Sus scrofa: one gene and its partners. The protein of the gene in region 3 interacts with the protein of the main gene of each other region in a pairwise test. Links are inferred from orthologs where the notes say so. Each region holds a gene or a part of one and is shown on either strand. Other genes may lie near its edges. The genes, in order: ERCC3, MAT2B and KPNA3.

Region 1 (3,747 bases), on a different chromosome or scaffold from region 3:
AGGAGAACATCAAGAAAAATACACTTAAGTATTACAAATTTTTATATACAGGAATGACCTCCCCAACAATTTTGAAAAGTAGTCTTAAAAAAACCCAAATATATATATATATATAGTCCCACCAACTTCCACTTTTAAATCTAGATGACCCGTGAAGACAGACTCAAGCTCTTGATGCATTTTCTTCAACAGTCCATAGATACTGAGTCTAGACTGGTTAGCTGATGCTACTGACAGAGCACGAATGTCCAGCACATGACCCTGTGGGGGTCACTTCCTGAAGCGCTTGAAAAGCGGGTGCACGTGCTTGGTGGCCGCCTTGCTCCGGGCTGAGTGGTACTCCATGTACACTGTGTCATCGGCCCCAGACATAGAACTCATGGTGCCAAAGCGCCGAGAAACCTGCAGGGGACACAGCCCAGCGTTAGTGTCCATGGGGAAAGACTCTCCCAAAACATTTATAATCACAGTATGTTTCATAAATGCATAAGCTTCATAGCTTTTATTGTTTTTACAGTAACATTTACTGACCACTTACTATGTCTCAGGCAGTGTTCTAAGCAGCTTATCCTTATTTACATGTCTTAACTTACCAAGTCCTCCCAAGCATTATAATCTCCGTCTTACAGAGGAAGAAACTGAGGCACAGAGAAATTAAGTAACTTGCCCAAGGTCACACAATTCTTAAAAAGACAGGACTTGAACCCAGGCTCTCAGCTCCAGCTTCCATGTACACAGACAGCCCTGAAGCAGCACCTCACACAGCCTGACCTCAGGTGGACCTATTGGAGGTGGAACTGATCACACATCACCTTGGGACACACTCAGAAAAAGCTTTCCCTGGGGCTCCTGTGGAGACTGCCTGGGAGAGGCAGCCCCCAGGTTTGGGGACAGAAAGGTCTCACTGCAGCCTGAAGCTGCAGGGAAGGTGGCACCTCCCTGCTGACACTACCTCTTTCTTGCCTGTTCCAGCCATTGCTCACCTTGTGCCTTTAAAATTAGCTCAGTTTCAAAAGTATCTGATTAAACTGTACTCTCCAGAGTTCCCATTGTGGCGCAGAGGAAACAAATCTGACTAGAAACCATGAGGTTGCAGGTTCGATCCCTGGCCTCGCTCAGTGGGTTAAGGATCCAGCATTGCTGTATGCCGTGGTGTAGGCCACAGACATGGCTCAGATCTGGCATTGCTGTGGCTGTGGTGTAGGCTGGCGGCTAGAGCTCTGATTGGACCCCTAGCTTGGGAACCTCTATATGCCGCTAGTGAGCCCCTAAAAAGACAAAAATAAATAAATAAATAAACTCTACTCTCCTTGGAGAGGCCTGGTAAGAATTCTTCATCAGTTACACTATGTTACATTCGCCTGGCACAACAGCAGGCAACTAATCAGTATTTGCAGAATAGCTGAAGAGTTGAGCACTTTTAGAGAAGTCTAAATTTTTCAAAGTATGTGCTGAAACTACAACATAAACTGTCTCAGACCCATCCCGCAGGCAAGAAGGTGCAGTTTCATCACTGAGGAGGAAGTCAGAGATGAGGGGACTCGCCCTAGGTGCGTCACGCTCCTTCCCGCTAATACCCTAGCAAGTCTGGGTCACATCTGGTACCCTGGGTTCTAACGTCAAAGTGCCAAACACTACGCCAGACTGTTGTGAATAAAGCACGGACTGACTACAGCCACCGTGGGCTCACACACCTAAAGCCAGACAGATGCACAGAACAGCAACAGGTAGTTCCTACTATTCTCTGTGTTTTGCAGGTTATTAAAAATACCATACAGACGAAAATACACACACACACACACACACACACACACACGCAAACTGTGCATGTGTATGTGTGTCTATGTCCTTCGGGAGAAATGCCATCAAGAGCCTCACCCGCTCACTCACCTGGCTGGATCTGGAGCCAAATTCCCCTGCCACCACTTCCTCCTCAGCATCCAGGTCAGTGGCTGCCAGCACCTTCTGTAAGAGCTGCTGCTGCTCCTCTTTTGTCGAGAATGCCAACTCCTCCTCCTCCATGCCTGCAAGCTTTGTGATCACCTGCAGGCAGAACCCTCTTGTTCTCTCCCTCGGCCCGATCCCACCTTCTCCTAGGTTGACCTGGTCTGGTCACTTCCCTCCCAGGCCCAGTAGAGCAGGTGGTAACAATGGAGGCTCCTCTTTGGCAGTGCAGAGACAGCTCCAGGAGCTGCCACTAACCAGGGGCTCAACTAAGGACTGCATGGCAGGAGGCTTAGGAATTCTAGAGAAATCTGCTCCCCATACAGTAAGATAACCACTGCTTACAGAAGAGCAAAAACAGGCACCTTGGCAACCTCAAGCCCACCATTTTGGCTGTTCCCCATCTTGCACAGGTAAAGGAGGGGACCTAGGCAAAGACAAGGCTTGCTGTCCCACAACGCCTTCATTTCCAGGCCTGACACTCAAGGCTTCCAGCAGGACGGAGCACTGACAAATGACAGCATCCTGAGAATGGATTTGAAAGATTTTTTTCCTAAAAGAACAAGTTAATAGCACAGTGGAGAGAGATTAGGTTTTCATTTCTTTGGAGATAACTTACTACAAGGCCTACCCATCCCTGAAGAAAGCTTGGATTGATTATGTAAAGGGAACGCTTTCTCTCGTTCTTCTCACCATTTTAATTAAAAGAAAATCCTAAGAAGGAAGGATCCGAGCCCTTCAGGTGGCCACTGACGTGGACCAGACATGGGACAGCCTTGCCTTGGCTTCATCACCACTCCTGAAACTCCAAGGTGGTGACTCGGGGAACTCTAAGCTGGTGCTCCCAGCCAGGGGGGCCCGACTAGAACAGAAAGCCATGGGCTCAGGCACCCAGAGCACCTTCGGATCTGCTGCTTCTCTTACCCAGACAACTCTCCCAGGAATCGGGAGCTATGAATGCTGTTATCAGCACAGTATTTCACAGATGGACAGAAAGGTCACAATGAAAATCCTCCAAAAAACTGTCCCAAGTGTCCTGAGCTAGAGCTCACTCAGCACAAGAAGTCTGGAAAGCATCACTGCCCCTGTTTTCTCCCTAAGGCTAATAAAGGGAACTCTATCAGCTCCCTAAACCGATGTGGAAAAGACATGATCTAAAGTATCCGAAAAGGCAGCCTATGGTCCTTCACAAATCAAGAGCCTGGGAACCTCCACGCTCTAAGATGTCCTTGTAGTCCCCTGTTTCCAACATCTCTGCACACCCCCACTAATAAAAACCCTCTGAGACATTGAATCCTGACATAATAAATAAATCCTATCTGTGTCAACAAAAGAAAGCAAATGGCTCAGCCAATGGAAGTTTGCCAGAGCTTCAGAATTTCCTGGTTGCTGGAAGACCAGACATATATGCATGGTTCTGATGTTGGCAGCTCCCTGGGACCAGGCTCAGCAGACAACTAAACGCAGAGCTCTGCCAGCTACCTGGAAGGGTTCCCCAAGAAAGTAAAACCTCAGGGCTCAGACTAGCACAGTGATGGCTACAGTACCTTGGCATCCCAAATCCTAGGCCAGCACATTTTCCCACCAACATCTAATGTTCTTTTTATAAGGCAACCATAAAGAGTTAACGACCTGATCTTGCATCAGAGGCCCCCTCCTCCACCGATCCACTGGGAGAAGCTGGAGGCAGGAAGAGCAGCAGAAGGCCCCATGACTCACGCATTGACAGAGGGAGTCTGAGCAGGGCTGCTGGACCCCAACTGCTGTGTGCCTGCCTGAGACTATTCTATGCTTATGATGACA
Region 2 (3,736 bases), on a different chromosome or scaffold from region 3:
AATTATGTGTATGTATATATAACATATATATGTTATATATTTTTTTGGGGGGCTGCACCTGTGGCATGTGGAAATTCCTGAGCTAGGGACTGAATCCGAGCCACTGCGGTGACACCAGATACTTAACCTGCTGAGCCTCATGGCAACTTCTAATGAATTTTAATTTATCAGATTTAAAAAAACTGTATTTTCTTAATCACTGACAGACCCTCTGCACGTGTCATAGTTCAACTACGTGCTCTGTACTTGAACTGGGTAAAATATAAAAAGTTAACTGATTTTTTTTACGCTCTATTTGAATGGCAATTTTTTGGTGGTTGTTCTTAAATTGTTACAGAGCGTCAATGCAGTGGTTCAAAATTTAACTGAGCATATTCATCACATTTTAAATCGTTAACAGTAGGATTGCTAGGTTCCATTCCTACAGAGCGATTTTTTTCCTGCTGTGCTGGCAGCTCCGGGCAGCTCATTGGTCTAGTAGTCCTTAATGCTCTGCCAAACTTGAGGCTACTCCATTTATCATTTCCTCAAACAGAGGGCAGGGCACTGTTAATGGAAAAAACCTATCAAGATTTAATTTTTGGTGCTGTTACTACCAGTGTGTTTTTACCATCCTTTCAAATAGTTAATTAGAAAGCCCTGGGGGGAAAGCACTGGAGACCTTTACCAAGAGGATTCTGTTGTAATAAACCATAACTCAATAAAATATTTCACAACAGGAATCAGTTGCATTGTCTGGGGTGCTTTCCAAAGACAGGCTCTTGCTTTTTTTTGCAAAAGAAAACTGCAACAAGTCTTCACAGACTTGTTGTATCTTTATTCCTTAAAAGAAAAAAAAAAAGTTGGTTCTCCTAATGGTTTTGATAATGGGCTCTCACTTGGCTGGCAATAAAACATGAAACTTCTCATTGGGTATTTTCAAGACTGCCACGGGGAATCAGCTGCCAGTTTACTGCAATGTGGAAAACTGCACGAGATTCTGGGATCGGACTCAAAATGCTAATTTCAAAGGTCGAATGAAGCTGTGGCTCACGTTTTCGTGTGCCTGAGCTCTCAGCAAGCAGAAGAACAAAGACCCAGCTCGAGAAGGCAGAGGCAGAGACCCATCTCAAATCTTTTTTCCTGAGATAATTTTGGAATCATGCCTGAAATGCCGGAGAATATGGAACAGGTAAGAGCTAGCTATTCAAGAAAAGAAGCATTCTGGAGTTAGAGTTTCCTTAAAAGCACCCCAATGAACAAATGATAAAAACCGAAAGGGTGTGTGAAAAAACAGAAATGAGTGTCATTCCTTTCTTTAAAACATCACTTTGGGACTTGACTTGGAAGAATGAAGTAGCTAATTATTAACCCTGTATGGAGAGTTCAGCTAAGTCTCCATTAAAAAAAAAAAAAAATCCCAAACAACAGTAGTTTCATTTACCAGATTAATGCAATGCTGTAGGTGAAAGTTATATATAAATAACGATTTTATCTTTCTTTGTTTTGGCATGGATTGAATCTGCTAACCTAAACTTTATCTCCAGATTACTCTTTTTAAATTTATAGTTTTAGCCACTAAGTGAACTTGGATATTGTCTGTATAATAATAGCGTTTTTATTTACACTGAAATTTCCATTTTTATAAAGAATGATTAAAACCCATATACGAGCATATGCCCCTAGGGATCATACCCAAGGTTCCCCTGGCGAGTATCATATCAGATTCTCAAATTTAGGCAAGTAAATTCCTTTATTCCTCTAGATAAGTCTGCTCTGAGAATCAAAATGCTAATTGCATATGCATATCCTTAAATCGTCTTCACGTTGAACAATCAATTTTTTTTTCTTTTGTAGAGATTATAACGCATCACTGTAAACTTTACAAAAAATCCTCAGTTTTTAAAGAGAGGAGGATCGGGAGAATCTTGAATCCCTCCCCCCAGTACCACCGACACCTTTTCTTTGTTGCAGATTATGCGCGGTTACTGTTGGGGCAGTCCTCTCTAGGACTCTTAACAGTGCTAATTGATTTATAGCCGGGATTGAAACAAAAATTGTAAAGTGTTGGGGGGGCCTCAGGCTCTCCTGCTATTGTTCCAAAGAAACCTGATGCTTACACAAATAAGGAAATGAGTTCTTGTGGGGGTTGGGTAGGAAAGAAAGTCACGGGACTGAGACGTGGAAAAACTTTTTTTAAAGGCTGCTTGCCTAGTGTTCAGCTGGAAGATGAAACCAAAAAAAGCTTTTATGCAATTAACGTCGTTTTAGAAGAATCCAAGCAGTAATCAACATTTCTGGGCGACTTTTATTAGAGTCTCTGTCTTCTGTGTGTCTGGACAAAAACACTCAGACTGTTCAGTGGAAAGCTGGTGAACCCTACACGGTCCATGCTCGGATTTTTTCTGAGTAAATTTCACCGGCATCCCGGCTGGCATGGGACGTTTTGGTTTTAAACTGAAAGAAAATACGGTTGCGTGCTAGGTCAGCTTCAATGCTTAGGGCTGTTTTAATTTGTTACTTTAAAAAAAAAAAAAAAGGGTGATACAGGTGGTAGAAGATCCGTTGGTCTTTTTCCCCTTTGGTTCCTTTCATTTTCCGAGGTAGCAGAGGCGCCGCTGTGTAGCCAAATGCTGCAGCCTGTAAGGCGGTGCTTCTCAAAGGGTGGTCTTGACTCCAGTTATATCCCCTAAAATGTGGAGCCCCAGGCTCTAGTTCCACAGCTCATACTGAAGTTATTGGTAAAGTACGAGAACGTACGTTTTAAAGTGGCACCCAAACAATTCACCCCCAGACTCCCACACCTTTTTATTTTTAACTAGTTAAAAATAGTTTGCCATTTTTGGAATTTCACACGTACTACCTTTGTGCATCCCAGAAAGACAAATGGGTTCTTCAGAGGCTGATGACTCAGATGTCAACACATTTATTTTTACTCCTCTCTTTATAAAATCTCTCTCTCAAAAACAAAGATCCCTCATTGCTCTAGGGATACATGTCCAATTGTGCTTCCTCTTCCCTTGCCTCATCCCTCCTACCATATCTTTAAAATGTTTTGTTCCACTTTATGTTTTACGTGCCCAGTTAATCCTTATGCACTGCGCACAGTCTACAAACTTGGAAGTCCAGGCGATCCAATTCAATTCTTACCTAGTCGAAAAGGGAAAACTAAATAAACATCCCCAGTTCCTCCTCCCAGCCCGCAAACAAAACTCAAGAGTCCCGGTTTAAAGCTGAGGCCTTTGTTTCAGGTAGCCCTTTAAGAGTCGGCGCGTGGGCTGGGAGCGTCCTGAGCGCGCCCGCCCCCTTTTTGGGGCGTCGGTGGAGCGTGGCCAATCAAGAGTGTCGGTCTTGGCGGCGGAAGCCGGAAGCGGTGGGAGGGGGCCGGCCCGGACCAGGGGAGGCGGGCCTAGGGCGTTGGAGCTGCGGCTTACGGCGTTCTTGGGCTGGAGGAAGTGGCGGACGCTGCGGCGGCGTCGCCAAGACGGCGGGCATGGTGGGGCGGGAGAAGGAGCTCTCTATCCACTTTGTTCCCGGGAACTGCCAGTTAGTGGAGGTGAGGGAATCGGCCCCGGGTCTGGAGGCGGGGTGGGGGGGGGGGACGTCTCGTGGGAACCGAGTGAGCGGAGGGGGACGAATCTGGTGGTGGGGCTGGAGTACTTTTCCAGACGCATTCAGTCGGAGCTGAGGCCCCGGGAGGCTGGGGCGGCGCCGCCGAGTTTGTTTATCTCGGTTTCTGTGTCTTTTCTTAGCAGCT
Region 3 (3,747 bases):
TTTTACCTTTTATCTATCCCATGTATGAAAAGGTAGAAATGAAAGCTCATCAAAGTACATCTCACTTTTTGAATAGCCTAATAATCACTACTACTTAGTCACAGAGCTAAGGTGCAATGTAAGTTTCTAGTGTAATACAGTTCCTAATGGATAAGACTATATGGGGGGTCTAATCTCAGTTATACCAAATTTCACAAAAAAGGCGCTTGATCGGATTTGACCCTTTAATCACATCTCCAGTATCCATCTCTCTCAGCAGTCCTACAGTCTCTCAGGACTCTTCAATTACTGCTCCCTCATTCTGGAATGCCCCTTCCTTGGCCATCTTTCTTTCATCCTTCAGGATCAGCTCCCTCCCAGTCATCCACCAGGAATCAACCAGAACTCTCCCCTGACCATTCAGCTCCAAGTCAAAATCTTCTCATGCAGTCTCAGAATACACTTATTGATGTCCTGCACTGTAATCATCAGTTTACTTTCCTATCATTCCTACTGAACTATAAAAGTAAAAATCCCTGAGTTACAAACCAAACACTGTTCGATACCCAGTAGACCAATGAATGAATGCTCATACCCACTTCATGACCTTGTGCAGACTGTATAAGCACTTTTGTGTTTCCTCATCTAAAGTATTTTCCTCCTGTAAAGTGGTGATAATGCTACACCTAGCTCATAAAGTTGTCATAAGGCTTAAAAGAGGTATCATGAAGCTCTTAGTATAGTGGCTGCCACATGGAACTACCATTTGAATGTCTGCTATTTCATGCCTTAGTTATTCTCCCTCATGTATTCTAAGAATTGTAATGTGACCGCTATTTTCAGGCTTCATATCTTTTTTATGCATCTAGAAGTCACTGATCACATTCTGACCTTTAGCAGAGATACACTGTGTGCATATTATGCAAAGGAGTCCTTACTAGGTATCACTGAGATCCCCAAACACAATAGAGGCAAAAAAAAAAGGGGGGGGGGAAGAATGTTAATTAGTTCTTCTGTACAAACAATACAAGTATTTTTCAAACTACATTAAGTTTTGCTTTATGACAGAGGTAAGCTTCAAGAAAAATGACTGATGATTACGGTTCAAAATTACCTATCATCAAGAGGACCAATAACAAGAAGCAGTTCCAAATTTCTTACTGCTATTCTTAAGTTGCACTTTTGCTTACAAGTATTTCTCACTGTAAAATTGAACAATGACCAGGACAGAAAAAAGATGACTTTTATCTGTCTCAATAATATGAAAATTCCAAGGCATTTCCCTACGTTTTTCTCCAATTACTATTTAATTTTGTGGCTCCGAAAAACGGCCTCAGTTTTGTCTGTTCTTCTACAAAACAGAACACTGAACGGTATATTTTCCCCACCACCTTCTCTCTTTAAGACAGGATAAAATGCGCACTTCTTCGTCACACTGGCCGCTTAGCAAGAATGAGAAAACTGCAAATCATGTCACCTAGTAAAAGAAAAGAAGGCTGTGGACCTGAAACCACTTTCCCCCAACAATCCAGAGGTCAGAGTCCCAGTGAAGTTTGTGCATTACACTAACTACACTGCTTTTAGAAGCTGCAGAGAGACCTCTAGCGCTGCCTGGACAAGCCGAGTTTGCAAACAGTACCTGCTAATGTCACCTTAATGAGACAATGGCAACATGCTGAGTAGCAACGAACTGAGTGAACACGATCAATGTTTACAGTTTTGCAACCACTTGGAAATTCTACCAGCTTAGCGCAAGGCCGTATGAACCTATGTATCCAATTTATTTCAGTAAAACGTTTCAAAGACATGATTACCCTATGCACACCCTCACTACAAGAAAAGGCTAAGAAAAGAGGTCCTGTGAGCGGAGGTCGGAACAACGTCTCTTCCAAAGCCTCAACACAATAGACGGTAAACTATTGTCCACCTTCAGCTTGCTCCAAATGCCAGCAGTAACAGGAGTATGAGCTGGAAAAGCAAAGCGCGACTGGTCCAAAGAACCGCACTGGAATATAAGAAAATGGTCCTAGCGCATCCTACCCTCCCCCATTCACCACCCTCAAACAAGTCAGTTACCCGGCTGGTCCCCACCCCCCTCTGCGGGCCGCCACCGCCCGCCTGGGCCCGGCTCACAGAAGGTAGGCGCGGGGACCGGCAGAGCCGAGGCTCCATGTGCAGCAGCGCGGGAGGCACTGAGGGGGCCGCGCCGGGCAGGAGGCTGCACGGGCAGCGGGCGCGAGCCGTGGCCGCCCCCTCGGCGGGGCGGTCGATGGACCCGGGCGGCAGCATCCCCCCAGCCCGCGAGGCCCCAGCCCGCGGACCCCGCCTCAGCTCCACATCTCTTCCTCGCCGACAGCAGGCCGCGCCCGCGTGACGGGGCCGAAAACCCCGGCGTTTCCCGGACTCCGCGCCGGCAGCTTCGAGAGGCGGCTGCAGCCCGGCCCGCGTCCCGCCGCCCGCTCCGCCCAGCCCCTGGCCGCGGTGACGGGAGACGGTAGCTAACTCCGACCCACCGCGAGCCGGCGAAAACCAGCCCGGCGCCGGCCCCCCGCCCCTCCCCGCCGCCTCGGGGCCGGCGCGGCCAGGCGGGCGAGCCTGGAGGGCCCCAGCAGCGAAAGCACACTCACTTCCACATCTCGGCCCTTATTCTTAAAGCTCTTGATGCGGTGGTTCTCCAAGCCGGGGTTCTCGGCCATGGCTGCGCGCGGCTCCGGCGGCGGCTACTCCTGCGGCTGCGGCGGCGGCGAGTCTCGGCGCGGGAGGGGGAGGAGGGGGAGAGCGGGAGGGAAAGGGAGGAGGAGGGGGAAAGGCGGGCACGTTCCGTGACGCCTCCGAGCGCGAGGTGGCAGCAGCGCCGGGGGAGGCGCAGGCCGACAGACGGGCGGGGCGGGAACCGTGCTCTGGAACGGCGCGCTCTTGTGGAGGCCGGGGTCACGTGTCCGGGGCGGGCTCCGGCCTGGACGCTCGCCGGGCTGGATAAGTTCCACGTGGTACTCGGGATGACCCCGGCCCCAGCCCCTCCGCAAATCCTCCCCACAACCCCGCCGGGCTTCAAGTATGGTGCCAGCAATGGAGCCGAACTTAGCAGCTTTTACTGCCCCCGGGACGCGGGGTTGCGGGAGGAAACTACAGTTCCCAGCATGCCATTCCCTAGCGAGGGTAACTCTCCCGGCTTTGACAGAATCAGAAGAATGCCGGGAACCCTAAGCGCGCGTCTTTATGCGCGGCGCGCTCAGGGAGCCCGGGCGCGAGGCTCCGCCCCCAAGGCCGCCTCTGGGCGGGGAGTGGGAGGAGCTTCCTCGGAGACGGCACCTTGCGTCCTATTGGGAGGGAGGGGGCGGAGCTTCCTGGGAGGTGCACCTAGCTCCGTGTAGCCTAGAAAATTAGAAACCGATGCACGGCTGGTGCTTTGCTCTCTTGCTTCTTTGCGGGGGCGGGGGGGGGGGAGGGTGGCACGGGGGTCTCCTGAAATAGCAGCCACCCTCATTCGCTGTTCCTTTGCTCTGCTTTAGTTTTATAATTAGCATTTATTTCCACCTGACATGTATATATGTATGTATGTGATATGTGTGTGTGTCGATCTGGTTTACCGTATCGGAATTAGCTCAGTTAGGTAGGGACGTTAGGTATACTGCTGAATCCCTCCGTTAATACAGTGCCTGGCATGTCATGAATACTCAATAAATGCTTGAATAGATTAGTGCTCCGGCATCTGTCTTCATCATTCTCCCAAGCTCGGTTCTGCAACCTTCACTCTGGCAGGTCCTG

The links.
Region 1: the proteins of KPNA3 (region 3) and ERCC3 interact in binary tests that used the Homo sapiens proteins (3 or more experiments, as listed by UniProt). The link is inferred for Sus scrofa from reciprocal best matches to the Homo sapiens genes KPNA3 and ERCC3.
Region 2: the proteins of KPNA3 (region 3) and MAT2B interact in binary tests that used the Homo sapiens proteins (3 or more experiments, as listed by UniProt). The two-hybrid records come from large-scale screens. The link is inferred for Sus scrofa from reciprocal best matches to the Homo sapiens genes KPNA3 and MAT2B.

What each region holds. Positions count from the first base shown.
Region 1 is NC_010457.5:25,220,600-25,224,346, reverse strand, and holds part of ERCC3 (TFIIH basal transcription factor complex helicase XPB subunit), read right to left. Parts: intron 2,044-3,747; coding exon 1,891-2,043; intron 403-1,890; coding exon 271-402; 3' UTR 1-270. UniProt on the Homo sapiens protein: ATP-dependent 3'-5' DNA helicase/translocase. Binds dsDNA rather than ssDNA, unzipping it in a translocase rather than classical helicase activity. Component of the general transcription and DNA repair factor IIH (TFIIH) core complex.
Region 2 is NC_010458.4:60,271,351-60,275,086, reverse strand, and holds the start of MAT2B (methionine adenosyltransferase 2 subunit beta), read left to right. Parts: upstream 1-858; 5' UTR 859-1,141; coding exon 1,142-1,171; intron 1,172-3,443; exon of another isoform or gene 3,444-3,472; coding exon of another isoform or gene 3,473-3,535; intron 3,536-3,736.
Region 3 is NC_010453.5:17,947,168-17,950,914, reverse strand, and holds the start of KPNA3 (importin subunit alpha-3), read right to left. Parts: upstream 2,706-3,747; 5' UTR 2,676-2,705; coding exon 2,607-2,675; intron 2,295-2,606; exon of another isoform or gene 2,269-2,294; coding exon of another isoform or gene 2,113-2,268; intron 1-2,112. UniProt on the Homo sapiens protein: Functions in nuclear protein import as an adapter protein for nuclear receptor KPNB1. Binds specifically and directly to substrates containing either a simple or bipartite NLS motif.